2 linked regions of the Oryzias latipes genome follow. The protein of the gene in region 2 interacts with the protein of the main gene of each other region in a pairwise test. Links are inferred from orthologs where the notes say so. Each region holds a gene or a part of one and is shown on either strand. Other genes may lie near its edges.

Region 1 (5,166 bases), on a different chromosome or scaffold from region 2:
TGACATACTGGCCAATCTGCTTATTATCTATTCTAACAGGCAAATATGTTTTTGTACACATTTGCATGTAACAACTAAGCTATCAGATCATACTATAACTGACGTTATAAAATGAAAAACAACTATTTTTAGATATCGGCCACTTACAACAAGGTGATTATCGTGCTTTACATGAAGAATACCATCTTATTCTAAACATGCAGTTTTTGCAACAACACTCAAAACTGGGAGAAAATACTGTTGTGCGCCTAACTCAAAGGTTAAATGTTAGTCTCGGGAATCTGCCCCGGACCACACATGATCAACAGAGCATCTTGTGATCAGGGGGATTCTGTCTGCGATGACAATTTTAGAGCGTTAACTTTTTAAAGGTCATAGATTCGTAACTAGGACAACAGTTAAGATCGCATTTATATACCATATGTAGACAACAACTTCTTACTTTACGCATCTCTGTTAGATTAAGACAGAATTGCGGTTAAACTGGATAAGGAAGTGTTGAAATGATACTTTTAGGAGTATTTTACTTTCATTGTGAAGTTACATAACAAGTCAAACGCGGGTTTAGCAGATTTTCGCAGGTTATTTTTTTTCCCGCATCATGTTTATGTCATGTGCGTATTATATCATGAAGATTGTTTACGAAATGTCAGTCACTGTCGACCAAACGTTCACGTCGGATTCTAAGCAGGGATCATATTTTTACAAACCCCCAGGCTGTAACGCCTGCCTGCCAATGTGACTTTTCACTTAGAAAAAGCATAAAGTTCTTTTTTATTATTATTTTTGTTGTTTATTTACTGTGATGATTTGGCAAAGCTTTACTTTAGCTAGTGGCTAAGCTACAACCTCGATCTTGACAGCTGGAACTTTTTATGTGTATAGCAATATTGTGAACATGGTATTATTTTAGTTAGAATAAAAGAAAGAACTATTAAATTCCAATACTGACATTAGCCCTGGTTATGTCATGGTACAGAATGCCATAGTCCATGCTATGTGCTTAGCTTCGTCTGTGGCCTGCCTAACGAGACCTGTCTATACCGCCACCGCCCCTCACGTCAAACTAAACTCACTCAAACACAAAAAAACATTATTACCCGTTTTGTTCCGCCCGTTCTCTCAGAATCCAAACGAACCCGATGTATGCTCGAACTAGGGATAAAACTGGTCCTCGAATCAGTTTTATTTAAACTGAATTCTCTTTCCTGCTTCGTCGTAGGTCGCCATCTTGATTTACAGAGCACCCTCCGCTGGTTCCTGTGTGGCGTCACAAAACGTCAGACAAAGATGGGAATCAATGTTTTCCATAATTTCAAAAACATAAAGATTTTAAATAATCTCTCTCTCTCTCTCTCTCTCTCTCTATATATATATATATATATATATATGTATATATATATATATATATTATTTATTTATAACATGGCGAGACTTAAACAATCATGTTTAATTAAAATAAAATTCTCCAAATGTTTATGTTGAAGATTAAATACTCGATTAGCATAATAATGAGACATACACACTTTTTTTGTTACTTTTACACCGAAAGAATAACTTATATTACTTTCAATAAAGTGAAAGATAAAAGACATTATCTTGAACATGTGTTATAATTATTATTTTTAGAAAGTAATTCGTGTTGGTCTGTTTTTGACAAAGTAAGTCAAAGCACGCGCTGTTACCCCTCTGCTCTGTCGAGTGCGCGCACGTCACGTTCGGGTTGTTACGCTCGTTACGTTCTACAGACACGCGCAATGATAGCCGGAAGCATCGATAGGCTAAAAAATAAAATATCGATTAAATCCACTGTCATACTTGAATGTAAACGTCTCTCTTTGGGTCTTTCCTGCGACCGCGGGCTCGAACGTCCCCGGGATTCACGCCGCTGCTGTGCTGGAGGGGACGGCAGGGAGCGGAACAGCTCCTCTTTTTTGACCCAAGTTGTTCGGTAGGGGTTTAGCTGACGTTGGAGAAGTTGAGACTGCTGGAGAACAGATAAACAAACATAAACACGCAGCGATCAGCTGGGCGCCAGTCTGAATCGAACCGAGTGCTTGGAGAGATGGCACGGAGAGGAAAATGACAAGTGTGAGCCCGAGAACAAGCTAAAGGAGACCGTGTCAGACTGATATTTATTTGTTCCCTGGCAACTGTCAACACTGCTGGCACATAAAAGAATTTCGAACAAAAATACAACACGAGGACCAGCCTTAGGCTCTTGTTGAAATCAGCTGTTCCTGTTATTGTTTTTGTCGAGACAGGATGGTTAGTATGGACAAATGAGATTATCTACGTGGTTTGAGCCGTAAAGACCTGAACACAAAGCAGTGCAAGGAGAGAGGTAACCACTTTTCATTAACTTCTTCCCCCTTAAAGGGCCTCCGAACTGAACCTAGCTTGGCAGGCCACACAGCATGTTTGGGCTTGTTTTTTTGTTTTGTTTTGTTTTTTTAATTCGTTCCACTTACTGATTTTTTTTCTCCTGTTTGCGGTTTTCAGAGAGTGTTGCTCCAAGTGCATCTAAAAATGATCCTTAAATTTTTCCTGTAGTCGTCCTGACAACATCTTGAATGTGACCACATGTATTGGTTCCCCCCTCTTTTTCCTGCCCCGCTGCAAATGGGATCAGCATGGCCCACCAGACAACCCCCAGTTCACAGAAGGCCTTGATGATGGAGCTGAAGTCCCTGCAGGAGCAGCCGGTGGAAGGCTTCCGCATCACCCTGGTGGAGGAGGCTGACCTTTACAACTGGGAGGTGGCGATTTTCGGACCCCCAAATACCCTCTATGAGGGAGGCTACTTCAAGGTGGGACAAACCCTCCAATCGGGTGTACTCAAGGAAATCCAGCTTCTGGATGTTTAAGGAGATAGATTTATGAAAGTGCGTTCTGTTGTGGAGGCACCCTACGGCTGTAACGATTCATTTTAACAACAATTTGATTCATATCATAATTTTTGGTTGACGATAAGATTCATTGTCGATATTGGTTCATTTTGAACAATCCGATTTGATCCAATTTACTGACCTAAAATAAATACAGGACATCTTTAGTCAAAATTCCACCAGTGTGACTCAGAGATAAATACTTAGAACTGAACAGTGAAGGTAAAGTCTTCCAGATCCCAGGAGTTTCTTGCACGATAATCAAGTGTAAATTAAATATGTGTACAAACATACAAGTACACAAGAGTTAATGTCAAATCCATTCACATTTTAGTTTTATAAAGTTCAGCCTACTGTTATTTCCCACATCAAAATAATCCAAAGGGAGCATTATTAGAACATTCTAGCTCACTGCATGGTCACATGTCTTTGCAAAATTCAAAGTATTTCCACACATTGGACTGGAATGATAGACTGATCAGCTTTTCCTGCACATTAGTGTTGATCTCTACTACTAATGCACACCTGAGTGTGAGAGGGTCAGGGGGAGCGGAGAAAGTAGTTTATGGCTCGCCCAGCGTATTTTCTGCATCACAAATAAACTCCCTTTCCAACAACATTTTTTGGTCTGCTCCTGGTTCACAACAATTTGAGTAAAGGAATACTCGGAAATGCAATTTTAAGCTTAATTGTCTTTATAAATGTCCTCCATTGTGAGAAAAAAGAACCTGTTAAAAGCAACAAAAACACGATTTGCAGTGGAGTGGGTCTTTAATGCTCATTGGAAAACTGCTTATTTATTGGGGCCTTTATTGAGTAGTTAGATTGTAAGTGCAAATTCAGAGGACTTGTGAGTTTTTTGGTAAGTCTTACGCTTTTGCACATTCAAGCATGAACGGTGGAGCTTCCTTTGCAAAGTCTTGCATTTAAGAAAGATACAAAATTTGTACAGATACAGACCACTTACCACAAATGGGTTCCTTATTCCTTATCGTGCTAAACTGGAAATGTACTTGGTAGCCTATGTTTGTTAATTTGTACAAACATTTTGCCACCTTACAGATTTTAGTTCTTTTTTTTTTTTTTTAAACACAATTTCATAACCAAGGTTTCCTCAGGGTGCTATACAAAGACTACATACAAATCCCTGACAAAAACAAGGTAAAAACTTTTTTAAATCCTATAATTTTTATTATCAAAATTTAAATAGGACAAAATAACCCCAACAAAGTCAGATTGAAATAAATGTCTTTTAATAGTGGTTTGTGGCCAAAGAGTGAGGCTGAAGAACTATCTTGTATTTTTGCTGTACTGAGTATACATGTACAGAAATGACTGAAATGACTGTGGACAGGAAAACTGCCTTTAAACAGAAGAAATCTCCAGGAGAAGCGGGCTACAGGAAGAAGCCAGTGGTGGAAAACAAACACAGAAATGTGTGTTGAGAGACCAAAAAAAAAAAAAAAGAGAAAAATCAGCAAAAGCAATACTGGCTTAAGATGAGCGATAAAAGCAGATTCAGGAAACATTCACAATTAGGGAAGATTCCTGCTGCATCCTAGAATTTTATTACAAAGTCAGGTGTTACGTCTATATCCAAGTAAAAAAAGTCGTTTGTATTTAAAACTTGTAGAGAAGTTTGATCTCTTTTCTCAATTGTTAGCAAAACTTTACAGATTTTGAATCATTTAGATTTTCAATCATTTTGCTGCCCAACCTTCAGGATCTACCACGCAGCCTGACTTCCAGCTCTCCCTGCTCTTCTTGCTACTGTTTTGCTGGATCAGGTGTGTTCAGTAAATCACCCGAGTCTGCAAATCAGCAGCAAGGAGGGAAAGAAAAGCTGGAAAACAGGCAGGGTGGGAGATCTCCAGGATCTGATAGAGGTTTTTCCGACCTAGTAGTAAGACGTCACAGACACACAGACTAGTCTCTCTTTGATTCTGAGAGAATGTGCCTGATTTTTAGCAAATTATGCAAGCACAGAGACTTAATCTATGTCATAATACATAAATCATGCTCATAAAGTTTTCATTGGTACTACTGGAACTTAAAATATTGCCATTCAGTGTATTTTTGTTGTTCTAAGCTGCTGAGGCCTTAAAAAATAACATGTCATGTTTCACCATAGAAGACAGGAAATCAAAAGTCATCCAAGCCTGAATTTCACATTGATATTTTTTTAACTTCAAAAAATCATCTGTCTCAGAAATTGTTTCCATCTTTTAATTAAAAAATACATTTGCTTGGTGCACTTCTGCTAGTTGAAACCTCTTTC
Region 2 (5,364 bases):
ACAAGTACAGAATATGAATCCAACTCTCGACCCTTAATATGGGAATAAACCTGTAGGTTTATGTTATGTAAAAACTAATCTGTGAAATTAAGACTATTTGTTGTTCATTTTGTTAGGTAAAAATACACATTTGCTGCTTATATCTAAAGAAAATGTTAAAGAACAGACTTGACGCATTTACTTTAAATTTCATTTCTTTGTTTTTTTTTGTGTTTTTTTACTGTATTTTACCTGTAAATTGTCCTTGAGAATTTTATGAAGTGCTTTTTAAAAGTAAATGCTTGATGATGATGATTATTGTAATAATAATTATAACAACAATAATAATATTTTATTTTTGATCATTATAAGGATTATTATTACAATTATTATTTATTTTTATTTAATTTTTGACACCTTTTTTGTATTTTGGCAACTTCAGGCTTTAGGTTTATAATCATCAATTTTTAACAAAAAATAAACTGGGGGGGGGAGGGGGGTGACTGAAAAATGTGATCGTTTTGTGTCAAAAGTATTTTTCTTTTCCTCAAAGGTCAGTTAATATTGGATCAGGTTAAAAAGTTACATTTTTGATGAGTCCGACTTTCTGAGAATCAAAGTTACAAGAAAACACCTCTCTTTATCTAGAAATGTCCCTTTTACTGGGAAGAACATAATTTATTGCTTTTGTTAAAAATTAAACTTTTTTTTTACTTTTCTTACATAATCTAATTTAATTACATCTGGGGAGTTTTTTCCTAGACAAGTCTGACAAATGATTGTATCATTTTAATATGTTGAAAAATTCAGACTAATGTGTGATGAAGAAAATGTGGATTTAACCCAAAAGTTTTAAAACAGCGTAAATGAACAAACGGATCTTGGAATGTACTAGACTTGTCCTCTTGCTGAGAAGGAAGTGATCCAAAGTTATATAATTCAGCAAATCCGATGCTTGGTGCATTTTCAGTTGAGCTGGTCACAAAACTTTCAATTTTATTGTCAAAAGAAAAGTTGGCATGAATAAATATTATAAATATAAAACAAATTCCAGTCCGTGTAAGCAGTTATTGCATCCATTTAGCATCTAATTCACAGATTTTAACCTTTGAACAGGACGAGAGAGAAACCAAGATTTATAGTATTGTTAATACTCTACAATCTTTTGGGGCACTTTAAATCAAAAACTTCCACTTTTATTAAAAGTCCCAATACGTCACATCTGAACAGTATGTAAATCTGCAATGCAACTAATGAGATATTGTACATTTTTTTATGGAGAAATAAAACCAACTATCTATGAAAATCTGTCACTTTTTATTCCTCTGATGAAGGAAGCTTACATTTTATTGAACTTGGCACACTTACCGATACACTTAAAGTAATCTAGATTAAAGAATTATTTAAATAACCCAACTCCTTTTTTGACACTCAATCCTCCTGATGTGTCACAATCTCCCTCTAGGTAGTTTCTGCTTTTTTTCTGTTAAACATTTGAAGCTAAAGATAAGAGCTTGTTCCAGGATGATCTTGTATCTATTCCATCGGCCACTTTTTATACCAATATTATTCCTAATTTTAAATTGAATCAAAGTCTGTTCTTTACCACAAATTCCTTTATAACAAACAATGTCATATTTTTGTACAGTATTTTACGTATTTCAGTGCAAAAAATGAATACTATAGCATGCTATTTTACAATTAGTAATACTGAAAAGTCAAGTAAATAAGATTTATTTAAAAACTAAATTTAAGAAAAAAATTTCTTATTTGATTATTCTTTTTTATAAAAAATAAAACGGAAGTCACGAGTCTCTTTTCAGCGACGTTTCCGCTCTCTTTTCGTGGAGGCTTAGCTAGCGGCCGGGTGAGTACACGTTGAGTTCATTCTACGGTTATGCTATTTTAATCATTTATGAGCTACTGAATTCGACCATACTAGTCAATTGTTGTCAAATAAACATACGATTCACATTTGTATTTTGCTCACATGGCTTTAATACGTAAAATTCCGCTGATCTTGACTAAATCCATCGCTAACTGTAGGCATGTGGTGAGGCCTGACTAGCCCAGTAAGCTAACAGCTAAACGAACATCTACAGGCGTTCATTTAAATACACAGTAATGACTTTATTAATTCTTAAACATGCATAGCAAATACAATATCAATAAAGACTCTGAAGATTACTTGTTTTTGTTTAAAAACGTTAGTTGGACCTCAGCCAGAGATGCGGCGTAATCTCGGGTCTAGTTTAGCTAGCTGCACTTGTACAGAAGTGTAAAATAACTATCTTCTTTTTTATTCAGACTGCAATCATGCAGATTTTTGTGAAGACATTGACGGGGAAGACCATCACCCTCGAGGTAGAGGCCTCAGACACTATCGAAAATGTCAAGGCTAAGATCCAGGATAAGGAAGGTGAGTTCATATGAACTAATTAAAAGCAGGGATGTGAAGTTTTTTGTTTTTACGATTAAATAGCTTTGTTGTGTTACATATTTCAAAGTCCTATATGAAGATATTTATATATTAATTGATATAGGTCATATTAATTGATATAGTTCTGCCATTACGTGTTTGGTTGACTTATTTTTACCTTGTCTGCAGGAATTCCCCCTGATCAGCAGCGTCTGATTTTTGCTGGAAAGCAGCTCGAGGATGGACGCACCTTGTCAGACTACAACATCCAGAAAGGTATTGGCTCTTTTTGCACAATACTGGTATTGAAATCAACCTGCCAAATGGTCCTTTGTAGAAGGCGAGGTTAAAAGTGCTTGTGTATTCTGAGCCTGCAGTTAACAATATGTTGTCTCCCTACTAGAATCAACCCTTCATCTGGTTCTTCGTCTGCGTGGTGGTATCATTGAGCCTTCACTCAGACAGCTGGCTCAGAAATACAACTGCGACAAGATGATCTGCCGCAAGTAAGATTACATGTTGCTATTTTTTGAAATGGCTTCCAGGTTGAGAAACCTGGTTAAAAGTATACAAACTTGTTATTCTGTAAAGTTGAAATTTAAAGGATTACCTTACCTGAAATGCTTTTGTAAAAAATGCATATTCCTAAAGGCACATACAGTTGTGGGCAGTTCTCGACCTTATTTTCCCAACTTGTGGTGTTAGCAGGAGCAGCTGTGAGCTCCACCTTTTCCTATAGATTGTCTTTATTTTTTCTGAACCCTATAATATCCCTGGTCATTTTTGCAGGTGCTATGCCCGTCTGCACCCACGTGCCGTCAACTGCCGCAAGACGAAGTGTGGCCACACCAACAACCTTCGCCCCAAGAAGAAGCTGAAGTAAACATTTCAGTTGAATTGGCATTTTGTGCCATTTGGTGTTAAAATAAATGTTAACAAAACCATTCCAGGTGTTGTTTATTTAGCCTGTGGAAAAGACGAAAGGTATTGGAAGCTGCAAGTGCAAAAAGTGAGGTTATCTTTAAAAAAAGTTGCAGCTGGTGACATATTATTTTTGTTTTTCAGATTCCCTAAGTATCTAATATTCTATCATGTTAAACTGTGTTACTTGCGTTACAATTGTTCAGCTTAATTAATTAAATCAATGAGGAAAAAACTGGGCTTCTGACAGTGGGGCCAGCTTAAAGAGAAAACTTCAGATACCATTGCTCCACAAAGGGAAGGTATTGTTAATAGTAAAACTATTTAACCTTTTTAAATATTCCCCCCCAAAAACCTATGCAAAAGTAACAGCTGTCCAAATTTGTAGTCCTGCCTTGCCTCAGTCTAAAGCATTTAAAGAGCTATGGCAGATTATATTTGTGATATTTAATGGCCCATAAATCTGATCATATTGGAGCTTGTGTACTGTACTAATGGACCTCATCACAATGGAAATTGGATAAAGAGAAGGTAAACCAGAATTGACATTTCTGCTCTTTTTTTGACAGATTCCACTGAAGGATTTGTGGTTTACATAACCTAAATGAACATATAGCTGGTTTGATTTCCTGCTATATTTTACAGGTTATCTTAAATCTTGCATGCTTTTTGGTGATTTTACAAGACAAATCTTTTAGCTCCACAAAAATTATATGAAAAGATCATAGTGAGACAACTATTGTTTAAATCGAAAGTTATATCAAATCAATTATTTCCGTAATGGCGAATGGGAGCTGGATGATCATTCCAAATCAAACGTTTTCATGGCTCTATTGAGAAATTCTAAGAAAGATCAGATCATTTTTGATATAAATCTAAGTGTATGGGTGGTAAATTAAGTTTCTTAAAATGATTAGAAAACCTGGGCTGCATGGTGGCGCAGTGGTTAGCGCTCTTGTTTCACAGCAAGAAGGCCCCTGGTTCAAGTCCCGGCTGGGGGACATGAAAAACAAAACATCAATGGAAGACCTTTCTGTGTGGAGTTGGCATGTTCTCCCTGTGCATGTGTGGGTTTTCTCCGGGATCTCTGGCTTCCTCCCACCATCCAAAAACATGTTTAATCGGTTAATTGGCAACTCTAAATTGTCCAAAGGTGTGAGAGTGAATGGGTGTGTGATTGTGGACATTCCACCCTGGGACAGACTGGCGACCTGTCAAGGCATCCCCTGCCTTCGCCCAAAAGTGGCTGGGATAGGCTCCGGCAGCCCCGTGACCCCGAAAGGGACTAAACTGAATAGAAAATGAATGAATGAGAAAACTTGTTGAAAACTTTTGTTTCCATGTGACCAAAGATGTACAAAAATAAATCCTTCTACACAATCTTTCAGTTTATGAAGTGTTTAACCCTTTATATGCATTTGTAAATTGAGAATATTAGTAAAGACAGGTTGCCAAAGAGGATTATTTTCTCTAAACATACTTGGAGGATGAGGTTTTGGCAGTAAATGAGTGTCGTAAATGTGTAAGATTAGCAATAATATTTAAATACATAATGTAGAGTGAAATGGACACATGACATAAGCATCATTAACTTTAATGTCCTTACTTTTAAAACTTTACTCTTCAGTGTAAGACTACACATACTTTAATTTTAATATTTGATATATTTTTAAACGCATTTAAACATAAAAAAATGTATAAGCAACTTTGAATTGACCGTTGATCAATTGCAAATGCAATGATTTCAAAAGTTATCCAGTAAATACAGCAAAATGGAAATTAGAAACATGTTTAACAATTGTGAGAATTTGAATGTGTGCAAATATTTAAGAGAAATTTGAACATTTGGAGTTTTGAAATTGGTCAATTAGTAGTTCCTGTATTAAATATGCTAATAATTTAACATAACAATCCATCTTAAAGCTTGAAGTCGGTTCCTTTTTTAAAAGCTGAAACACTCAAACATAGCAGTGACTGGATATGGCAGTTTTAATGTGTAAACCAGTTTAATACAAATATAAGGGAACCATCTCACATTTTCAAAC

What was found. The genes of interacting proteins can lie anywhere in the genome.
Region 1: the proteins of uba52 (region 2) and ube2r2 interact in a two-hybrid assay, tested with the Homo sapiens proteins (2 studies listed by BioGRID and IntAct, with this or other methods). The link is inferred for Oryzias latipes from reciprocal best matches to the Homo sapiens genes UBA52 and UBE2R2.

Annotation. Positions count from the first base shown.
Region 1 is NC_019863.2:17,254,569-17,259,734, reverse strand, and holds the start of ube2r2 (ubiquitin-conjugating enzyme E2 R2), read left to right. Parts: upstream 1-1,704; 5' UTR 1,705-1,951; exon of another isoform or gene 1,952-2,264; 5' UTR 2,265-2,344; intron 2,345-2,623; exon of another isoform or gene 2,624-2,632; 5' UTR 2,633-2,633; coding exon 2,634-2,810; intron 2,811-5,166. UniProt on the Homo sapiens protein: E2 ubiquitin-conjugating enzyme that accepts ubiquitin from an E1 ubiquitin-activating protein, and catalyzes its covalent attachment to other proteins by an E3 ubiquitin-protein ligase complex.
Region 2 is NC_019862.2:13,929,945-13,935,308, reverse strand, and holds uba52 (ubiquitin-60S ribosomal protein L40), read left to right. Parts: upstream 1-1,742; 5' UTR 1,743-1,846; intron 1,847-2,286; 5' UTR 2,287-2,295; coding exon 2,296-2,398; intron 2,399-2,587; coding exon 2,588-2,674; intron 2,675-2,801; coding exon 2,802-2,904; intron 2,905-3,187; coding exon 3,188-3,277; intron 3,278-3,888; coding exon 3,889-3,898; 3' UTR 3,899-4,028; downstream 4,029-5,364.